4 linked regions of the Mus musculus genome follow. The protein of the gene in region 4 interacts with the protein of the main gene of each other region in a pairwise test. Links are inferred from orthologs where the notes say so. Each region holds a gene or a part of one and is shown on either strand. Other genes may lie near its edges.

Evidence for each region.
Region 1: the proteins of Clns1a (region 4) and Snrpd2 interact in binary tests that used the Homo sapiens proteins (3 or more experiments, as listed by UniProt). The link is inferred for Mus musculus from reciprocal best matches to the Homo sapiens genes CLNS1A and SNRPD2.
Region 2: the proteins of Clns1a (region 4) and Lsm2 interact in binary tests that used the Homo sapiens proteins (3 or more experiments, as listed by UniProt). The link is inferred for Mus musculus from reciprocal best matches to the Homo sapiens genes CLNS1A and LSM2.
Region 3: the proteins of Clns1a (region 4) and Snrpg interact in binary tests that used the Homo sapiens proteins (3 or more experiments, as listed by UniProt). The two-hybrid records come from large-scale screens. The link is inferred for Mus musculus from reciprocal best matches to the Homo sapiens genes CLNS1A and SNRPG.

What each region holds. Positions count from the first base shown.
Region 1 is NC_000073.6:19,148,253-19,153,479, forward strand, and holds Snrpd2 (small nuclear ribonucleoprotein Sm D2), read left to right. Parts: upstream 1-1,585; 5' UTR 1,586-1,640; coding exon 1,641-1,642; intron 1,643-2,965; coding exon 2,966-3,145; intron 3,146-4,223; coding exon 4,224-4,398; 3' UTR 4,399-4,474; downstream 4,475-5,227. Other genes in the region: Qpctl (glutaminyl-peptide cyclotransferase-like protein), read right to left, coding at 124-267, 724-933. UniProt on the Homo sapiens protein: Plays a role in pre-mRNA splicing as a core component of the spliceosomal U1, U2, U4 and U5 small nuclear ribonucleoproteins (snRNPs), the building blocks of the spliceosome.
Region 2 is NC_000083.6:34,979,844-34,985,026, reverse strand, and holds the start of Lsm2 (U6 snRNA-associated Sm-like protein LSm2), read right to left. Parts: upstream 3,174-5,183; 5' UTR 2,945-3,173; coding exon 2,942-2,944; intron 2,898-2,941; exon of another isoform or gene 2,771-2,897; coding exon of another isoform or gene 2,660-2,770; intron 2,408-2,659; coding exon 2,340-2,407; intron 48-2,339; coding exon of another isoform or gene 19-47; intron 1-18. UniProt on the Homo sapiens protein: Plays a role in pre-mRNA splicing as component of the U4/U6-U5 tri-snRNP complex that is involved in spliceosome assembly, and as component of the precatalytic spliceosome (spliceosome B complex).
Region 3 is NC_000072.6:86,369,721-86,374,832, reverse strand, and holds the start of Snrpg (small nuclear ribonucleoprotein G), read right to left. Parts: upstream 3,294-5,112; 5' UTR 3,251-3,293; coding exon 3,219-3,250; intron 1-3,218. UniProt on the Homo sapiens protein: Plays a role in pre-mRNA splicing as a core component of the spliceosomal U1, U2, U4 and U5 small nuclear ribonucleoproteins (snRNPs), the building blocks of the spliceosome.
Region 4 is NC_000073.6:97,709,819-97,714,478, reverse strand, and holds part of Clns1a (methylosome subunit pICln), read right to left. Parts: intron 2,780-4,660; coding exon 2,681-2,779; intron 1,853-2,680; coding exon 1,745-1,852; intron 573-1,744; coding exon 399-572; intron 1-398. UniProt on the Homo sapiens protein: Involved in both the assembly of spliceosomal snRNPs and the methylation of Sm proteins.

The sequences.
Region 1 (5,227 bases), about 79 Mb from region 4:
CTGTCCCCCGACCCCCATCAGATCACTTCTGCCTCCTGGCTGTTTTGGGATCTTCGGAGCCTGAGTTCCATTTCCTGACAAACTGGGGAAAGGAAGTTGGGGGTTGACAATAAAACCCTTTACCTTTCTCACTTGGAGATTGCCAGAACTACCCGGGGGTCGCACAATCAATAAGGGACGCAGGAAAGTTCCCCAGAGACGCTGCGGATCCAGCTGCCCTACCACCAGCCGCAGCTTGGCTTCTGAAAGGCTTCCGATCAGCGGGACCTTGGTTGGGAAATGGGATGGGAAAAAGAAAAATGAAAACAACCCCATTCCCACCTTATCCTGGGCGCCGTTGCCTACTAGGAGTCCTGGCTCTTCCTGGTAATGCAAATCTCCAGCATCAAAGATTTCCTAGACTGGGAGAAATCTTCAAAGCAAATCTGGTCCAGCCTACCGCAGTCCTAACGAGGAAATTGCAATCGGGTGATGGAAATTTCTAAATAGATGGCTTGGGCATAGAACTCAGTTCTACCAGTGTTGCTATGAGGACTCGTCATCTTCAGTGGGGTCTATCACAAAACAAGCCTGAAGCCTTATTTTGTTGGGTAGGGGCACGCGCTCAAGTCATGGATAAATGGCACAGGCGGCAAAAGCCAAATGATAAGACCACGGTAACCTGAGACTCAATACGAAGGGAAAGAGGGAAATGACGCTGGCTGGGCACCAGCCAGGGCTCACCCGCAGATCCCGGCTCCGTGACATCTCCTCAACCCCAGGGTGCCAGCTGTTCCAGACGATATAGAAAGCCAAGCCCATAGCCAGCGCCAGCAGCAGCAGGGGCAGGAACTGCACTCGCGGCAGAAGACGGCGCTTGGAAAGTGAGGGTGGTTTCATGAGGCCACGATCCTCGAGCCGCTGCCGGGGCCGCCCGCGGCTCCCGGGACTCATGGTAGCTTTGCTCTGAAACCAATCCCGGTATGGTGGTTTGAGTTTTAGGCCAAGATCCGCCTCGCTGAGGTTACAAAACCCAATAAAGAAGCAGAGTAACTGCGTCCTTCCCTGAGACGATTGCGATTGGCTGTCCTAAGCGCCGCCCCACCCAAAAAGGAGGGCGGAAACCTTAAGGCCCGCCTCCACGGAAGAGGACCAGTCAATGGGCTGCGTCCGAATGTGCGAAACCTTCCAAGGCGCGGGGTCACGCCCCTCACGGAAGTCGATCAAGAAACTGTCGTTCAAGGAAAAAAGGGGCGGCATCCATCCCTAAAACAAGGAGCCGATTGGTTTACCTGAAGCCATGCCCTCAAGAAAAGTGTCCGAGGGTATTTGGAAATGGGGTTGTGTTTTCCATCTTCCAACTGGACGGTTTGACGGGAAAATAATTCTAGTCAGACCCCGTATTATTTTCCTCATGAGCAGACACCCTATTGTGATCCTCAGAAGCTTCAAATCCTCCTTATAGGCATTTTCTACAGGAGAGTGCAGCCTGAAGGGTCGCTATGGTAACAGGCCACGCCCACAGCCGCTGGTATTTGGTTGCGCAGGCGCCGACGGAAGTGAGCCGCAGGAGACGGAAGTCCCGCCCTTCTCGCCCTGTACGCCAAAGGCTGGAGCAACGCGCTTGGAGGCGGGAGTGATCTGCGAGCGAAACCTACACCATGTGAGGCCGGGCTGGGCTTTGGCGGGGCCGTGGAGATGGAGGTGGACAGTTTAGCTGAATAACGGTCGAAATGGGGTGTTTTTATAGCTGAGGGTAGAGTTCCTCGGGCAAAAGTAATGTTTTTCCTTCTGGGGTATTTGAGATCGGGCTTGGGGCCTCGCTCGGATCTTGAGTTCCGGAGAGGGGACAGCTTTATTCCATAACGGGCATGAGACTCTCCGAGGTCCTGAGTCTTGTGGAAAGGAACCATAAAGGGAAAGCTGAGTCTGATGGCACATGCCTGGAATCCCAGGCCTCGAGAGGCTGATGCAGGAGGTTCGCTAGTTGGCCTTGGCCAGCTTCATAGCGAGACCGCTTCCAAAAGTAATAGTAATTTTAAATGGAAGTGGTCTTATGAATAAAGAGCTTGGCGGGGAAGGAAGAACTGTTAGAAATAGTGAAAAGTATGGGACGTAACCAGGATAAATTAGAGAACCTAACTAGAGACTGTCAGAGTAGCAGGGTACTACAGTGGTTTGGTGCGTGTTTATTCATTGAGCATATACTATGTAGACTGCTTGTAAGTTAAGACACATGGTAAATAAAAGGTCCTTGCCTCCAAGGGGGTGGGGGAATCTCCCTGGTGCTTGTAAAAAGAGTGGAGTAGGAAAGCCATAGAGTAATAAATAGGTACATACACCTTAGATAATCAGGTTTGGATGGAGAATTGAGCAGGAAAGATATAATGCCAGTAGGTAGCACAGTAGGATGCATTGAAAGCCCAGTTCTTGGGATGCAGATTTAGCTCAGTGGACAGAGTACTTACCTACTGTGGGTACTGGGTTTGGTCCTTAACCACACACAAACTAGACATAGTGGCACGTGCCTGTACTCCCAATACTCAGGAGGCAGAGACAAGTCTGAGTTCTGGGGCAGCCAGGCTTCTACAGTGAGATGTTGTGGGGTGGGGCGGAGGTTCATGGAGAGAGATGATTGAAGTTTAGGTTGCGGATAGAAAGGGCCAAGGTTTGGATGTACCATGGTGGCAGATGACAAGATATAAGGATAGAGTAAGGTTTGAAAGAAGAATCAACTGCCAGGCATGATGGTGAGCCTCTGTCATCTCAGACCTTAGGCAGTGGAGTCAGGAGAATTGAGAATTCAAGGTCAGCGGTGGGTGGAAGAGGTTAGGTAGATGAGCCGGGGCAGGCTACCATGGAAATGTCTCTCCTGCCTCCAGAAAAGACTGCACCAGAAAGGGGGCTGGGGAGACACTGGACAGTGTGGCTTTGATCACGTACATTTCCAACTTGAACCCATCTCACCCCTGGGTTCTCTATCCAGGAGTCTCCTCAATAAACCCAAGAGTGAGATGACCCCAGAGGAGCTGCAGAAGCGGGAGGAGGAGGAATTCAACACAGGTCCCCTCTCAGTGCTCACGCAGTCGGTCAAGAACAACACGCAAGTGCTCATTAACTGTCGCAACAACAAGAAGCTGCTGGGCCGGGTGAAGGCCTTTGACAGGTGAGTGCTGTCTTGGGGAGGGCTGGGTCTGGGTCCGAGGGGCCTGAAGGAAAGGTCATTCCAGAAGGATAATAAGGTGGGCACACACGGTGACAAAGCACCTTTAATCTCAGCACTCGGGGAATCACTATGAGTTGGAGGCCAGCCAGTGTCTCATGGCACGACCTAGCTCAAAAATGTAGAAAGTGGCGATGCTTAACCTTTTTATAATACATATCTTACGTGTTTAGGTGTTTTGTCTGCATATGAGTCTGTATGCTATGGACATGTCTAGTAGTTATCAGAATCCCCTGGCAGGAAATTGGACTGGAATTTCGATATTTGATTTGTTTATCTGTAGACCAGACATCAGTGTCAAATATCTTGTATTGCTTTGTAGTTTGTTTTGAGACAGGGTCTTTACTATGTAGCTCGAACTGGCTACAGATGTGGCAGAGGCTAACCTTACACTTCTAATCCTCCTGCTCCCATCTCCCGAGCGCTGGGATTACAGGATTGCATGAAGCATGCCGTCCTGCTTTATTGTTTTAGTTAGCATGGGACTTGCCTTGTGACTTAGCCATACACATCTGGCACTGTACTTTGCTCTTATTCACTGTCCTCAAGCAAGCATTTGTGGAAAGAACTGATCCAAGTGTGAACAATGGCCACCCGGCCCCATGAGGACAGGACTGTGCAGCACTGGAGTGCGCGTGTTGGGAGCCGTGTCTAACCCCAGCACCCTAAGACCCTCTGGAGGGAGCAAGTGCTTCTCTCCTGCTGTTTCTCTCAGAGTTAGAGTTAACGCCAGAGCCAGGGCCATTTTGGTGGGCTTTACTCTGCTGGGTCCTGAGTTCTTTATTCATCCAATCTTCACACCAGCCCTATGAAATAGACTGTCTCCATTTCATGAAGGGGGAAACTGAGGCACAGAAGGGACACTATAAAGTGAAATCACTTTGCAGCCTGCCCATCCCCACTGTGGAGCCTGGGCTTTCCTTATGCCTGCTGCTGGAGAGTTCACACAGTGCCAGGCAAAGGTGGGCACTCGGAATGCCCCCCCTTACTCCAGCTTCCCCCCCCACCCCTACCCCATCAGGCACTGCAACATGGTGCTGGAAAATGTGAAGGAGATGTGGACTGAGGTTCCCAAGAGCGGCAAGGGCAAGAAGAAATCCAAGCCTGTCAACAAGGACCGCTACATCTCCAAGATGTTCCTGCGCGGGGACTCGGTCATCGTGGTGCTGCGGAACCCACTCATCGCTGGCAAGTAGAGCCTGCTCCCTGCCCTGCGAAGGCCTGCAGAACCCTGCCCAGTGGGCGAGAAATAAAACCCTGTGCTTTTTGGTTTTTATGTTTTCCAGTGGTCTTCTCTGCTCTTGGGTCTTAAAAGAGTGTGTTGGGCTGAGCACTAGGACAGGGCCTGTGGGTGCTGCGGTATATAACAGCCCTGTCTGCAAAGGAGACAGTTTAATTGGACTTTTGTGTATTGTGGACAGAGGGATTCTCTGACAATGTGCAAGTGGGAAAGGGAAGCCTATTTAAGAGGCTCGTGGAGGACCCAGGGCCTTCTGCTCTACCCACAACTCTGTCTATCTGGTATCTCTGTCTGTGTCCTCCCAGGCGATCATGGGCTGGAGGTCAGGAGTCTCTGCCCTCTTTACATGTATATAAAACATGTATGGGTGTTTTGCCTGGATGTGTCTGTTCTTGGTACCCATAGGAGCCAGAAAAGGAGAGTTGGATGCCCCTAGAGGTAGTTACATGTGGTGGTGAGGCAGCCATGTGGGTGCTGGGAAAAAAACCTGGGTCTTCTACAAGAGCAACAAGTGCTCTTAACTGTTAAGCCATCTCTCTGGCCCTTTAGCTGTCCTCTTTCTTTTTTCTTTTCAAGACAGAATTTCTCTCTATAGTCCTGGCAGTCTTGGAACTCACTTTGTAGACCAGGCTGTCCTCAAACTCAGATTCCCCCTGCTTCTGCCTCATGAGTCCTGGGATTAAAGGTATGAGCTACCACCATTCAGCCTAGCTGTCCTCCTGAACTGTGGAAGTCACAGCTAACGTTATCCTGTGCGTCCCTGTACAGAACTTCGAAGCCTGCAG
Region 2 (5,183 bases), on a different chromosome or scaffold from region 4:
GGGGAGGAACTTAAGGACCTGAGGCCTGCAGGCAGCATCTGTGAGTTCTGAGGTAGAAACGAAAATGCATCCCAGACTCAGTCTTTGCTCACACCAATGCATCAGAAGCTAATATTTAACTACTGCAGGCCAGGCTTGCATTCCATTTACTACTTGTATTTCCCTTTAAAGACAGGATCTCACTGCGCCCAGGCTGGCCTCAAACTATGGCAATCCTCCTACCTCCACTTGTGGAACTACAGCTGGGACCCACTATTCATGATCATTCCCCACTGGGTTTCTCTGTGAGGACCTAGAACTAGCTATGTAGATAAGGCTGGCCTCAAACTCACACCTGTTTCTGCCTCTACCTCCTGAGTGCTGGATTAAAGGTTTAAGGGATGCACTGCTATCAACACCACTTAGCTAATCATCTTTCAAAGTATTATCATCCTCCAGGATATGAGAGAGGTCATGGAAGGTAACAAAACTTACAACCAATAAACTGAAGGTCAGCCCAGATCTGCATGACTCCCAGAAGCATCAACTATTATTTTTAAAATATTGATTTTTATTATTTGTGTGTATGTGCATGTAGTTACCCACAGAGACCAGAAGAGGGCATCAGATCACTTGCAGCCAGAGTTCTAGGTAGGTGTGAATCACCTAATGTAGTTGCTGGAAACTGAACTCTTATTTTTCAGGGAGAGCAACAAGTTTTGTTTTGTTTTAAAGATTTATTTATTATTATATCTAAGTACACTGTAGCTGTCTTCAGACACTACAGAAGAGGGCGTCTGATGTCCGCTCTCTTTACAGATGGTTGTGAGCTACCATGTGGTTGCTGGGATTTGAACTCAGGACCTTCGGAAGAGCAGTCAGTGCTCTTAAAATCTCTGAGCCATTTCTCCAGCCCCCAGCAAGCTCTTTTTAAAGCACTGAGCAATCTCTGCAGCTTCCCTAACTGTTATTTGTAAACATTTACTGCTTTGGAGTCACAGACCTATGTACACATACTGGTAGCTGGAATTACTCTTTATTATTTTTGCTACACTCTTTTTTTTCTCGTATGAGTTTTTTGTTTGTTTGTTTGGTTTTTTTTTGTTTTTGTTTTTTTTCGAGACAGGGTTTCTCTGTGTAGCCCGAGTGCTGGGATTAATGGCCTGCGCCACCACACCCGGCTTCTTCTTCTTTTTTAAAAAATTGGATATTTTCTTTATTTACATTTCAAATGTTATCCCCCCCAACTTATCTTTAATAATGAAGATACAAGTCAAGTCTTCTCAGTTCTCCAGCCCTCTAGCCCCTAAGCAAGGTTATCAAGGCCAGTGCTCCCATACCACCTTACATGCCCCACCTTATATTATATTTACCCTCTGTGTAACCAACTTTAACCACCTCAGATCCTGAGTTTTACTTCCTCACTCTCTACATCCTATGAATCCCCACAGCTCTGTAGACCATTCGTGTGATTTGACTTTTAGACTATGAAAGGTCTTAGTCTGCACCTCAGTCTGGGCCAGCTTCTAACTTGGCCACACTGGTCAGAACCATCCTGCTGGTCAACCACTGATGTGTGTTCAAAGGTTTCAAGAGTCTACAAATAAAGTTATTTTGCTGGGCGGTGGTGGCACACGCCTTTAATCCCAGCACTCGGGAGACAGAGGCAGGCGGATTTCTGAGTTCGAGGCCAGCCTGGTCTACAGAGTGAGTTCCAAGACAGCCAGGGCTATACAGAAAAACCCTGTCTGGAAAAAAAAAAAAAAGTTATTTTAAAGAGAAACATGAGGGCTGCATATGAAGTTCACTTGTTGAGCATGCCCAGTACATGAAAGAAAACAAAAGCAAACAAAACCCGGCTTCAATGAAACTATAATTTTCGAAGCACTATTAGGAACCAAGTAGACCTTAACGGATGTGACAAGAACCCATAAACATATTTCCAGTGGTACAGCATTTAAGCATTTACCCCAACTCCTGAATCGTTAAGAGCAAATGATACAGCCAGGCAAATCCTAGCACTCAGGAGACAGAGGCATGTGGATCTGTGTGTTCCAGGACAGCCAGGACTACACATACATGTTACTTAACTGTATCTCACTGTGTAACTCCGGATGGCCCTGGACATATGTAGACCAAGCTGTCCTTGAACTCACACCTCTGCGTTCAGTGTTGGGATTACAAGCATGTGTCACAATACCAGGCTCACTCTTAAACTAATCTTTTACACTTAAGACGAAAGGTATTTCTTCTGTGTTTTGCCTACCTACTCTGAAGTAACTTTGTCAACAACAACGACAAAAAGGATCAGGACACCCGGCACCCCCACCTTCCACCAACTCGCTAAAATAAGGACCTACCTCAGGTCATTCTTGAGTTCCACGACTACATCCTTGCCCACAAGAGACTTGAAAAAGGAGTAGAAGAGCTATTGGAAAAGAGGGAGGAACTATCACATGAAAAGGGACGGGGAGGAGGAGCCCGTGACAGTATTTTGAAATACTAGTCTTTGTAGCCCCTCCTAGTAGTTCTCAAAACTTCATAACCAACAACAATCCGTTAAACGGGACTCTGCAGTTCACGGAGCCACGGAGTGACAGGACCTGCGTTGCACCCCTCGACGCTAGAACCCACTCTCTGAGTCGACCACCTCCCAGCTGAGACCGCTTCCCAACCGCACCCTCACAAAGTCCTCGTCAACAGCACAGAAGTGCAAGGCTCGCTTCCCGTTCTCCCCCGGCGCCCGTGGGCTTTCTCTTGGACTTGCTAAAGGTTTCCCCCAAAACACCATCGGCTCCGAGCAGCCTCCTCACACTGGGGTGTGGGCAGTAAGGCTGTACGGAAAACCCTGGGGCCTGGCTGCCGCCCCAAGCGACCGACACGAGTGCCCGCACCCACGCCCGCACGGTTCGAACCGCCCGCCGCGAGCGGCGGCGCTCCCTTTTGACGTCACGGTACCCACCATGGTGCTGGCGCCACGCGGGGCGGCCTGGACCGCGAAGGAAGGCGCCGGGGACTGCGAGCCGGAGGCAGGGCGGGAGCCGGAGCGCGAGCCCGCGCGTGAAGCAAGACTGGATCACGCAGGCGCACGGGGAGCCGCGAAAACCTCGGCTGAATTCAGGCTCAAAGGGAGCGGGGTAGGGCAGAGCCGAGAGGACCGCCAAACCGGTAGAGGGGCGGAACTTCCTGTCCCCCCCACTTCCTCCCGAGCAGCCGCTTTCTCACAAGCGCATGCGTGGGCCGTGGCAGCTGCGCGTTGGACGTAGTTCGTCTCTTTTTCTGATGGTTGTTGAGACTTTTCTCTCTGCCGCGTGATTAGCTCGTAGTCTACGTTTTCTATGGGGAATTATTGGGAAGATTGAGAAAATTATGACTTGCGTATTCTTTAGTAAAATTTAAAATGTTGCTAAGAGCTGGACAGCGTTCGTGCCCAACTGGAATCCTGGAGTTGAGACGGGAGGATTCTGGTTTAGAGGTCAACTAAAGCTATTATAGCAAGACCCTGTGTCAGAGAATAAAATATACACCAATACACACTGGTTATGGTGTGTGTGAGTGTGAGAGAGAAACCGGAACACAAATCCTGATTCTTATCAAAGGTTCCCAGTAAGTAAGTTTCTCTCAATTTCAGTCTTTTGGGGTGCAAAGTTGACCCAGAGCGGACACATTCTAAGCAAAGCAAATGAACAACATCCCAGCTCTAATGTTATATATATATATATAATTTGGCATAGGACTCGTCTGTAAAGGACTAAACTGACTGGAACTCAGTGACAGAAATATTTTACTTTATCTTAGCTTTTTTTGTGTGTGTTTGACAGTTTTTGCCTGTATGTTATGTCTGTACTACATGAGTTCCTGGTAGAAGAGAGGGCTTCAAATGCCCTGGGCCTGGAGTTACAATGGTGAGCCTCCTTGTGGGTGCTGGCAATCAAATCTGGGTGTTCTGGAAGAGCAACAGATGCTTGTAACTGCTGATCCATCCCTGCATTACTGAAATATTTTCAACTAGATCACCGACAGATACTACTTTGGATGTTCTGGGAACAGCATTACCAGGCTTGTAACATGCTGGTTGTGAAGGAGTTCACAAGAGCTGACTGATTTAAAAAAAAAACAAAAAACTAGAAAAGCCTCAGTAGGCAAGTTCCAGAGAAGAAAGAGATGGTCTGAGATGAAAGGGCTTTGTTGTTATTTCGATTGACTTGTTTTATGTAAGTATGCTGTGGCTTTCTTCAGACATCCAGAAGAGGGCATCAGATCCCACTACAGATGATTGTGAGCCACTCTGTGCTTGCTGGAAATTGAACTTAGGACCTCTGGAAGAGCAGTCAGTGCTCTTAACTGCTGAGCCATCTCTCCAGCCCTATTGTTTTTTTTTTTTTAAATAATTACATTAAGTGGGAAGTTGCTAGGTTGTATCTTCTGTGGATATCATGTCTGGATAAATAGGGAAACACTTTCTATTCTGTCTTCTCTTCTTGAGGCTGGCTGTAGGTGCAAGGCAGTCACGGGACACAGGTGAAAATTCTGAGAGTCTAAACCTGCTGATTGCAGGGTGGAATTCTCTAGTGTAATAATCTAAATAGATTGTAGCCAGGGTTTCCTGGGGGTGGGAGTGAGGGCTGGAGCATGCATGACTGTGTAGGCCAGAGATAGATACTGCCTGTTCTTTCCACCTTATTTAATATTTTAAAATTGTATATGTGTGAGCGTTTTTCCTTGCATGTCCATCTGTGTACACATGGGCAGTGCTCCCAGACACTAGAAGAGAGTGTTGGATCCTCTAGAGTTACAGTTGTTAGCCACCACATAGGTGCTGGGAATCAAACCCTGGTCCTGTGGAAGAGCAACACGTGTTCTTAACCACTTAGTCATTTCTCTCATTTTCTGAGATAGGATCTACCATAGATCCTGGAGCTGACAGGTTCATTCAGCTAGACTGACTTGCCAGCAAGACCCTAAGATGCTTCTTCTGTCTGCCCTACCTACCCACTCCCCCAGTGCTGGCATTACCGGTGCACATCACTGTGTTCAGAGCTGGATCCAGCATGGTACCAAGCAGGATTTGTTCCCAAGTTCAGCAGAATCCTTAAGATTTGAATCGAAAACAAGCTGTCACTGGATAGAAGCAGTCAGTACATTTAGCAACTGCGTCCTTTGGGCCCAGGGTGCCTGAGAATTAGGAAATGTTTGTCTTGGCA
Region 3 (5,112 bases), on a different chromosome or scaffold from region 4:
TTATTACAGAGATCTCTGTTATTACAGAGATTAGAGAGATAGCTCAGAGGTTGAGTGCACTGACTGCTCTTCCAGAGGTCCTGAGTTCAATTCCCAGCAACCATATGGTGTCTCACAACCATCTGTAATGGGGATTTGGCATCCTCTTCTGTCATGCAGGCATACATGTAGGTAGAATATAATAAATAAAATAAATGTTTAAAAAAATTAAATTTGTTTGTATGGTGCCAATACAGAAGTCAGAGGACAACTTCAAGGAGTTGGTTCTCTCCTTCAACCATGTGGTCCCAGAGGTTGACTAGTGTGGAGGCAAGTGCCTTTACCCTTGGAGCAATCTCATCAGCCTGTTAAATCTGCTGTCTTTCAGCAACAGGCTAGAAAATATCAAAGTTCCTTTCCTTTCTTTCCTTATTGTACTGACGACTGAATCTAGAGCCTCAAGCATTCTAGGCAAATACTCTACCACTCAAGTATATTCTCTTCTATTTTTCAGTTTAAGACAGTGTTTCTTAGCTACCCTGGTTTTGTAGTTCTTTGCCTCAGCTTCTCAAGTAGCAGACATTACATGCCTATGCCACCAGGCTGAGCTTCATTGAATTGTTTTTTGTTTTGTTTTGTTTGTTTTGGTTTTTTTTTTGAGACAGGATTTCTCTGTATAGCCCTGGCTGTCCTGGAACTCACTCTGTAGACCAGGCTGGCCTCAAACTCAGAAATCCACCTGACTCTGCCTCCCAAGTGCTGGGACTAAAGGCGTGCACCACCACTGCTCGGCTGCTTCACTGAGTTTTAATGTATAGACCATGATAGAATTTAAATATAAATTTAAGCCATAAGAATCTGAAGGTGGAAATAGATTTATAAATAACATTTATAAATTACTAGGAGTTATTTTGTAAATCAACAGAGGAACATATTTAACACTTACGATTCCGGTACTATTATTACCATGTTATACAGATGGAGAACTGACATTCAGTGTGGAGGTTGAATGAGAATGGCCTCCATGGAGTCACTTATGTGCATGTTTAGTTCGCAGCTGATTAAGTGTTTGGGAGGATTAGGAGGTGTGGCCTTGTTGGAGGAGGTGGCACTGGGAGTGAGTGGGCTTTGAGGTTTCAAAAGCCAGCCTAGTGTCTCTCTGCCCTGCCTGCTGCTGCGGTTCAGCATGTAACGCTCTCAACTACTGCCTGCCTGTTCTTCCATGATGATCATGGCCTCTAAAACTGTACGCAAGTCCCCATCAAATGCTTTCTTTATTATAAGAGTTGTCTTGGTCACGATGCCTCTATACAGCAAGAGGTCAGTAACTGAGACACTAATGTGCAGAAAATTGTTTTTAGTCATATACCATGCAAAATATGGCTGCTGGACTGCAGATGGGGTGGGGCTTCAAAGCTGGGTTAGGAAGTCTGGACTTGACTTTGTGGTGATATAAACTAGTATAGCAGAATTCATCAGTGGTTAAGACTTTCTGTGGCAACACATTTTAGGAGTTGGGAGGAGCTCAACTTTGAAACTACTGAGACACGGGACCAGAAATGATTAAGAACTATGGAGTTATGCTAAACTAGGAGTGAATAGCTGTAAAAGGAGGTGTTTATGAGAAAATAAGGAGGCGGATCTAAAAGTATTTCAAATTTGATAAAATGTAGGGATGAGAAAAAGGCATCAACTCAGAGAAGAGAAGTTCAGTGACAAAGTAGCTCACACAGGCTCTGCTCCAAACACGCCAATAAAAATATGGACACAATCACTAGTTCCAGTCTCTGAAAGGCCCAAGTATATCTGTTAAGAATCAGAGGACACTGAAGATTACAGGTAGGGAACAGTGCTTTTGTTCAAAACCAATGCCATTTTGCCAATTCCTGCTAAATCCAGACCTCATTTATTAGCTCATCATCAAAACAAACAGTGCAGAATAACTTCTTTTTAAAATGTCAGACTTATGGCTTAATACATCTTTATTATGTTGTGTTCTGCCTATAGGCCTGCAAGCCAGAATAGGGTACCAGATCCTATTACAGATGGTTGTGAGTCACCATGTGGTTGCTGGGAATTGAACTCAGGACCTCTAGGAAGAGAAGTCAGTGCTCTCAACCTCTGAGCCAACTCTCTAGGCCCGGTTTAACAGATTCAGATTCAAACAAAACTGCAGGGGTTTCACACAGAGGGCTTTGATTAAAATGTGCACTCAAATACAAAAATCAGCAAATGTTGTTATCTTTCCCCTGCATTGGGGTCTTGACAGAACTTTACAGTAGCAAACAGGCTATACACAAGACAGATTATTTTCTGGCTACACCAGAAAAGACCCAGTATTAATCTTGTATTGAGCAACCCAATGACTATGTGCATATGCGACAGGTTCAGGCCAGTCAGAAGTGTCTGAGACCAAAGGGTCTGTCTGATTTTACTGGGTACAGAATAAAATTCTTCAGAAATTAGCTCTTTACAAGTAGAAAATGGATGTCCTTCCATGGATTTATTGCCAGAGCAAGATATTACACAACGTTTAAATGTAACTTGAATACAAGGACAGTGTATCAGAAACCTAGTTCTTGGGGCTGCAGATGGCCCAGCGCTTATTGCTTGTCCAGAGGACACGAGTCCAGCTATTATTAACCACGCCAGAGGGCTCACAACCTCCTACAAGTTCTGTTTCTGCAGATCCAATGCCCGCTTTGGCCTCCGCAGGAGCTGCACCCACGTGCACAAACATATAACTAAACATGTCTCTGAGCACCAAAAAGGGGAAAAAAAAACCCCAAAACTAAACCTAGCTCTCTTGATGAACGCAAATGAACGCGCACATTTATTGAAACACAAAACGCTACCTCACCTTAAACTTTTTGAGACACAGTGTCTTTTTTTTTTTTAAGCCTAGGCTGGTCTGGAACTCGCGGTAATTCTCCTGCCTAAGCTTCCTGAATATTGGCCCCATAGATCACAGCCAATCACGTCCGACTCCAATCGATCATTTTAAGCCCACGAGTCTCCGGTTCCTCACAACCATGCACCTCGACCGCTGCCCTGGTCCCCAACCAGGTTGCCTTTGGCTGCCCGCCTAGGAGAGCCCCAGCTTTGGGAAGACAGAGGCACCGGCACTGCAGTAACCATGCCGACCGGACCTTAGCGCCACTTCCGGCTCCCGCGACCGTCGGGACCAGCGGCGGCAGCCCGAGCGAGACAGAAGTCTCGATAGGGCCGACTCTACTCACTTCTTCAGCTCGGGAGGGTGGGCTTTGCTCATGGCGACTCCTCTGCGGGCTCGGCACAACGGCGAAGGAGTGAGCAGGCTCAGAAACGCGCGCAAGGCAGGCTTGGCGCTGGTGTCTGACGTCACCGCCGCGCGAGCCAATCGCCTTCGGAGAACATTACCTTTCATCTCGCGATATTGATGGGGATGTCTGAACCTGCGGACCAGAGCCACGCTTCCGGTTGCGTCGCCAGTGACAGGCCACGACGGAGAGGCTGTGTTCGGCTAAGCTTCCTTTGTGTAAAATTGAAGTGGCAGGTCACTTTAAAAACAGACCCCTTCATTTATATTTTATGTATGAGTGCTCTACATGTACACCTGCGCGCCAGGGGAGGACCTCAGATCCTACTATAGATGCTTGTGAGCCACCATGTGGGTGCTGGAATTGAACTCCAGAGCTCTGGGAGAACAGCCAGTGGTTTTAACTGCTGAAGCGTCTCTCCAGCCTGTGTGTCACTTCTTTTCTTTCCTTTTCCCACTTACTACACTTTTTTTCTCTTTACATTTTTGTCATTTCCCCTGCCCCTTCCTCATTGTTTTTGACGTAATTCATGCTGGCTTCGAGTTCACTGTGTAGTCAACGCTGGCTTTGAACTGTTGCTTCCCGTGCTAGAATCAACGGCATCTGCACCACGCTGCCCTTAATTTCCTAAGCACATCCAGGCGAAGCCGAGGGCTCCTGAAGCACAGAATAGCTTGTCCGCATCAGTAGCAGGAAGGTGGCTAGGCGGATTCTCTTGAGGACGTGAATCCAGTGTCTGGGGTATTTCTGATTCATCAATTCTGCAATTCTAACGCTGCCTTCAGAACCCACTTAGCACACTACAGTCCATACATAAAAGCTGAGGAGTACCACACAAGTCCTGAGGTATTGAGCTTGCCCCTGCCTCCTGAGGGCTGGGAATAAAGGTGTGCACTCTCCCAGGGTGGTGGCACTGCCCTCAGTGCACTGGGCTCTCTCATGGTAGTCATTAATGACCCACAGACATGTCCAGAGACCTGTTAGATGGAAGCAGCTCTTCAATTGAGGTTCTCCTCATGATTAGTTTGTCATCAACAAAAAAATAGCACAAGAATGCTTAGCTATACACTCTCCCCACCACTTGCTGTGCTAGTTGAAACTAGAAAACGAACATGAATAATGATAGTCTTTAGCAAAGACTGACCTCAAAGCAGGAGGGAAATCCTCAGCTTGCCTTACAGTACTGAAATTACAGTATGCACCTTTTACAATTTAGTTATAATATGTAAGTACACTGTAGCTGTCTTCAGACACTCCAGAAGAGGGCGCCAGATCTCATTAGGATGGTTGTGAGCCACCATGTGGTTGCTGGGATTTGAACTCAGGACCTTCGGAAGAGTTTTCTTAACTGCTGAGCCATCTTTTCAGCCCCCCCCCCCATGTACCTTTAATCCTAAGTTATCTTTTCAACATTAACAGCTTTCAAGTTATGATGCTCTCTGCCTTCCTCTTGGTGTTTCCCATTTACTGATATATCACTACCCATAAGAAAAAGGTGGAGACAATGAAACTTTATTTAAAAACCAAACCACTTGGAAAATATATTGCAGGCTTGACACAGCAAAAAGACAGATGTATCACTGTTTCAAGTAATTAATTGGTATAAATACAACATAGTACTTATCCAAAAGATAAGGTGCTATGTTGGGCCAGCAACACTGCACTGCAAAGAAAATAAAAAATAAAAACCACCCAGGCAAAAATGGCATTTGGCAAGAAAGTGTGTGCCTCTCTTGTTCTACAGTGGTCCTACCCATCTGTGGCCCAAGTTGCTCAGTTTCTGGCTTTCTTGTTGCTATAAGGCTCTGTAGATTCAGAGCTGATTAATACTGGG
Region 4 (4,660 bases):
CTAAAAAGAATGACATGAGCACATATTAGGGGTGGTGTGTGTGTGTGTGTGTGTGTGTGTGTGTGTGTGTGTGTGTGTGTGTACGCCTTTAACCGCAGTAGTAGGAAGGCAGAGGCAGGTAGATTTCTGAGTTCAAGGCCAGCCTGAAGCTACACAGAGTAACCCTGCCTTTAAGAAAACACCCGCGCCCCTACCCCAAAAGAGTAAATATTGAGAGATGTGCTTTAAATCCAGGTGTGGCACACAATCGGCTTGGGGTTAGAAAGCACAGGACTGCCACATGTCACTCCTTCAGAGCCAAAACTGTATGAGAGTCTGGAGCAATGACTCTGCAGTCTTCTGGCTTCTAAGAGAAAACTTGGCTACGATTTCCCAGTCTGAAGAGAAAAAACACTCACCTTCATAATTTCTTACTGAGTCTTCTGTTCGGACGCCTGCCATATTATATTGGCTGCTCACAGACTGAGAAAGCATCCCTTCTAATCTCTCCAACGTGGCTTGCCCTTCCGCTGTTAAATGGGATAGTCCTTCTTCATAGGTATAAAATGTAGGGATGTCCCCTTGTCCTTGTTCTAAACAAACAGAACACTTTTAAATTATTTTATTCAACAATTGGAAAAAAAAAGAAAATGGATGATAAATAATGTATTTGCTGGAGATGTATAGGCTTCCAAAAACTTCCAGTGTTTATTGATAGGGTCATTGTCTAAAAAGACAAGACAAAAGAGATTGAGAAAACATTTAAAAAGATAATAAACTAGAAAACAGTAGTTCCCAGAGAACAGACTTTCTAGGAGTCAGAAGGAAGAGGGTGTTTCTTAAATTAGTGGATCCTTTATTATTCCAAGGTAGGAATTTTACAAGTAAACACAAAATTTGATACTAAAAGAATTTTGAATTAACATATGCTCCTTTTTAAAAAAATCAGAAAATCTAAAAAAAATACATAAAGGATAAAACATAAAACCACTTTTAAAATCTCTAGAAATGAGAACATATTTGTGTATATGAAGAATAATCCCAGAAATGGGTAGTCTTAAGGCCAGGAACTGGATTCATATGTAGGAAAGAACTTTAGATACTCAGATTGGTGCAAAAGGAACCATTTGTGCCTAAGGCTGCAGCCTATCAGGCAAGTGAGCCCATTCCTGCCTCACTTGTCTGGGGAGGAAAGGGGAAATAGCTGTAAATAAATGAAGTATGGTTCTAGGGAAAAGGAAATTAAAGTTCGAGAGAGAGCAAGAGGACTCCAGAGTCGGTGCAGGGCACTGGAGTTTGGTTTCTAGCACCCAGCTAGCAGTGCATACCGTAATTCTAGCTCACAGGGTTCCAAAACCCTTTTCTGGCCTCTGAGGGCACCAGGCACAATGTTGTGCACATATATGAATCCAGGCAACACACTCATACATGTAAAATAAACACATTAAATACAACTTTAAAGAGGTCTATATGAAAGAGCTCTCAGTGGGGAGGGTGGGGCAGCCTGAGGCGTGCTCTTGACCACCCACTTTCTCTCCCACTTGTTTCTATTTTCCATCCCCACTCCTAACATCTTACTGTTGTATGAGCTTGAGAAAGCCATTCATTTCCCCAATCTGTCTGCTGAAAGGGCCTAGGCACAAATATGCTAACGGATCATTCCCTTTATTTACTGCCATCTTACATGGGTTACTTCATCTTATGCCCTTAGCACAACTACATGCTTAAAATGAAACAGGAAAGCCGCAAGGCCCGAGTCACTGACCATGTGCCTCCACATCATACTCCTCTCCATCATAGTCGTCCGAGTCTTCATCCTCAGGGTCTGGATGCAAGGCCTGGCACTCACACATTGCTGTGAACATCGCCTCCACTGAAAGACATTAAACTATAATTAATACTTCTCCCAGTGTACCACGGAATTTTAGAATAAATATAACCACTATGATAAACCAATTTAAAAGCAGGCAGATTTTACTAGGATAACTATATTCATAAATCTGCAAAATTCAAATAGAAATTGATCATGAATAGTACTTGAGACAATGAAAAAGTCACAAAGTAAGAGTTTAAGACATTATGAGATCTCTTCATGGGTGGTTAGCCAAGGGCTGGCGAGATGGCTCAGCGGGTAGGAGAACTCACTGCTCTTCCAAAGGTCCTGAGTTCAAATCCCAGCAACCACATGGTGGCTCACAACCATCTGTGCAGCTACAGTGTACTCACATACATAAAATAAATAAAGAAATCTTTTTTAAAAAAAAGAAAAAGGCCAGGCCAGGTGATATGGTTCAGGCCTTTGATACCAGCACTCATAAGGCAGAAGCAATCAGATTTCTTTGAGTTTAAGGCCTGGTCTACATATCCAGTACTGTATAGGATAAAGCCTCTGTCACATGACATACTGTCTAGTCTCCACATTTTCACTCTGAAAGTGCTTCCTGCAGTTGACATTGTGTCAGCAACATCAACCAATAAGATTAACCAGAATCTTCTTGCACAAAATGCACCAGGTACCACACTGTTCACAATATTCTCTTTTTCTTCACAACCTGTGATGGTAGAAAGTACCTGCTCAATGGCTTTAAGGAGGCTAAGCTGAGATAAAGCAATAGAATGGAAGTAACTGTAATGAAGGTGAGGTGCGTGTGCCAGTGGGAGAGGGGGCACACAGAGAAAGATCAGTGTCACCAACACTCACATGCTGACTTATCACTGGGCACAAATCGAAATTCAGAAATGGGTTCAACATCATCATTGTCTTCCTCATCTTCATCAGAGAGAGGTTCTTTTGATTCTTCTATAAGAGAAATAAAAGTAAACTTTTTAGACATTTAAAGGTTTTGTTTTTTACGGCTTTACTTCTGCATGCCTGTATAAGCGTCTATGTACAAAATACATGCAAGAATCACAAGAGGACATTAAGTCCCCCGGAGCTAGAGTTAGAAGCACTGTGAGTCACCTAACATGGGTCCTGGAAACCTAACTCTGGTCTTCTCAAAGAGCAGTAGGAGCTCTTAACTGCTGGTCTGTCTCTCCAGTCTCAAGGAATAAAAACTTTTAAATAAAAAAGTATTTACTTCACATTTTAAAGACCCTGGAGCTAGATCCTGACAGTACTGACCCAGATTAAACAGTACTGGTAGCTAGATCCTGACAGTACTGACCCAGATTAAACAGTACTGGTAGCTAGATCCTGACAGTACTGACCCAGATTAAACAGTACTGGTAGCTAGATCCTGACAGTACTGACTCAGATTAAACAGTACTGGTAGCTAGATCCTGACAGTACTGACTCAGATTAAACAGTACTGGTAGCTAAGATCCTGAAATACTTGTTGTACTTGAAAAGGAGAAGCAAATATATACACAAAAAATATAACAAACAGGCTAGGAATTTACTGGTATATCTAAATATTGCAATTCACTTTTTATTGGTATTACTGCAGAGCTGGAAAGCGCTCAGCAGGAACACACTTGTAACGCACGCACTGAGCGCGCATCACTGGGAGCACTAGGACTATTTCAGATACATGGAGAGTTTGTAGATAAAACAAAATGTCCAAGGAGAACAGGGGCTGAAAATAATGGCTTAGTGGTAGTGACTTTGCACAGGAACTCGTGGGTTCAAGTCCTTGCATTGGGAAACTGATTATATAAATATATCAACAGATACATTTTAAAAAGGAACTCGATAAAAAAAGCCAGTTGCAGAATATACAGTATCATTTACATTAAGATTTTAAACATAAAACCATTACATTGGGTGGAGGCATAGACATATTCAGTAAAGGTTAAAAGCACATATAGACGGGCTAGAGAACTGGCTCAGTGATGAGAGCACTTGTTACTCTCGCAGAGAGCCCAGACTCAATTCCTGACACTCACCGTAGCTCGTAACTGTCCGTAACTCCAGTGCCAGGAGATCTACCCGCTTCTTTTTGACCTTGACAGGTACCAGGCATACATGTGATGCAGGCAAAACACTCACATACATGAAATAATAATAAAAACCAAAACAAAGCACAGACAGGAAGGACACACGCTACCTTTACAGTACTGTTTGAGTCAGAGAGTAGAGGATGAAATGGGGAGCCCCACAAAACAGCTTTCGAATTGGGCATAGTGGCACACATCTATAATTCCAGCCAGGTAGATCTTTATGAGTTCAAGACCAGTGTGATCTATACAGTGACTGCCAGGAAACAGAGAGACACCCCCCACCCAAACAAAGGGCAGCTTTTAACAATATTCAGTTATTTTCCCTTAAAAACTTATAGTATCTGGGAAAAGCGATATAGAATTTATACTGAATACTAAATAGAATATATATTTTCTATGTTTGAATCACTACACAGTTAAAAAAAAATAGATCAATAAAACTGATGCCACAAAACGAACATGTTTGCTGAAATTAGCAATCTTAAAATACAAATCACGGGCTGGCGAGTGGCTCAGCAGGTAAAGCACTTGCTGCATGTGCCCAACACCACTGTTCCATCCCCAGAGCCATTGAAAGGCGGAAAGAACCAAATCCATATGTACACACATGTACTGCACACACTAATAGAAACACAAACTGGGCTAGATAAGATACACATGAGCAGATGGGCTGGGATGCAACTCAGTGGCAGAGTGTGCACCAAGCACATTCACAGCCCTGGATTCAGTCTTTAGCTAC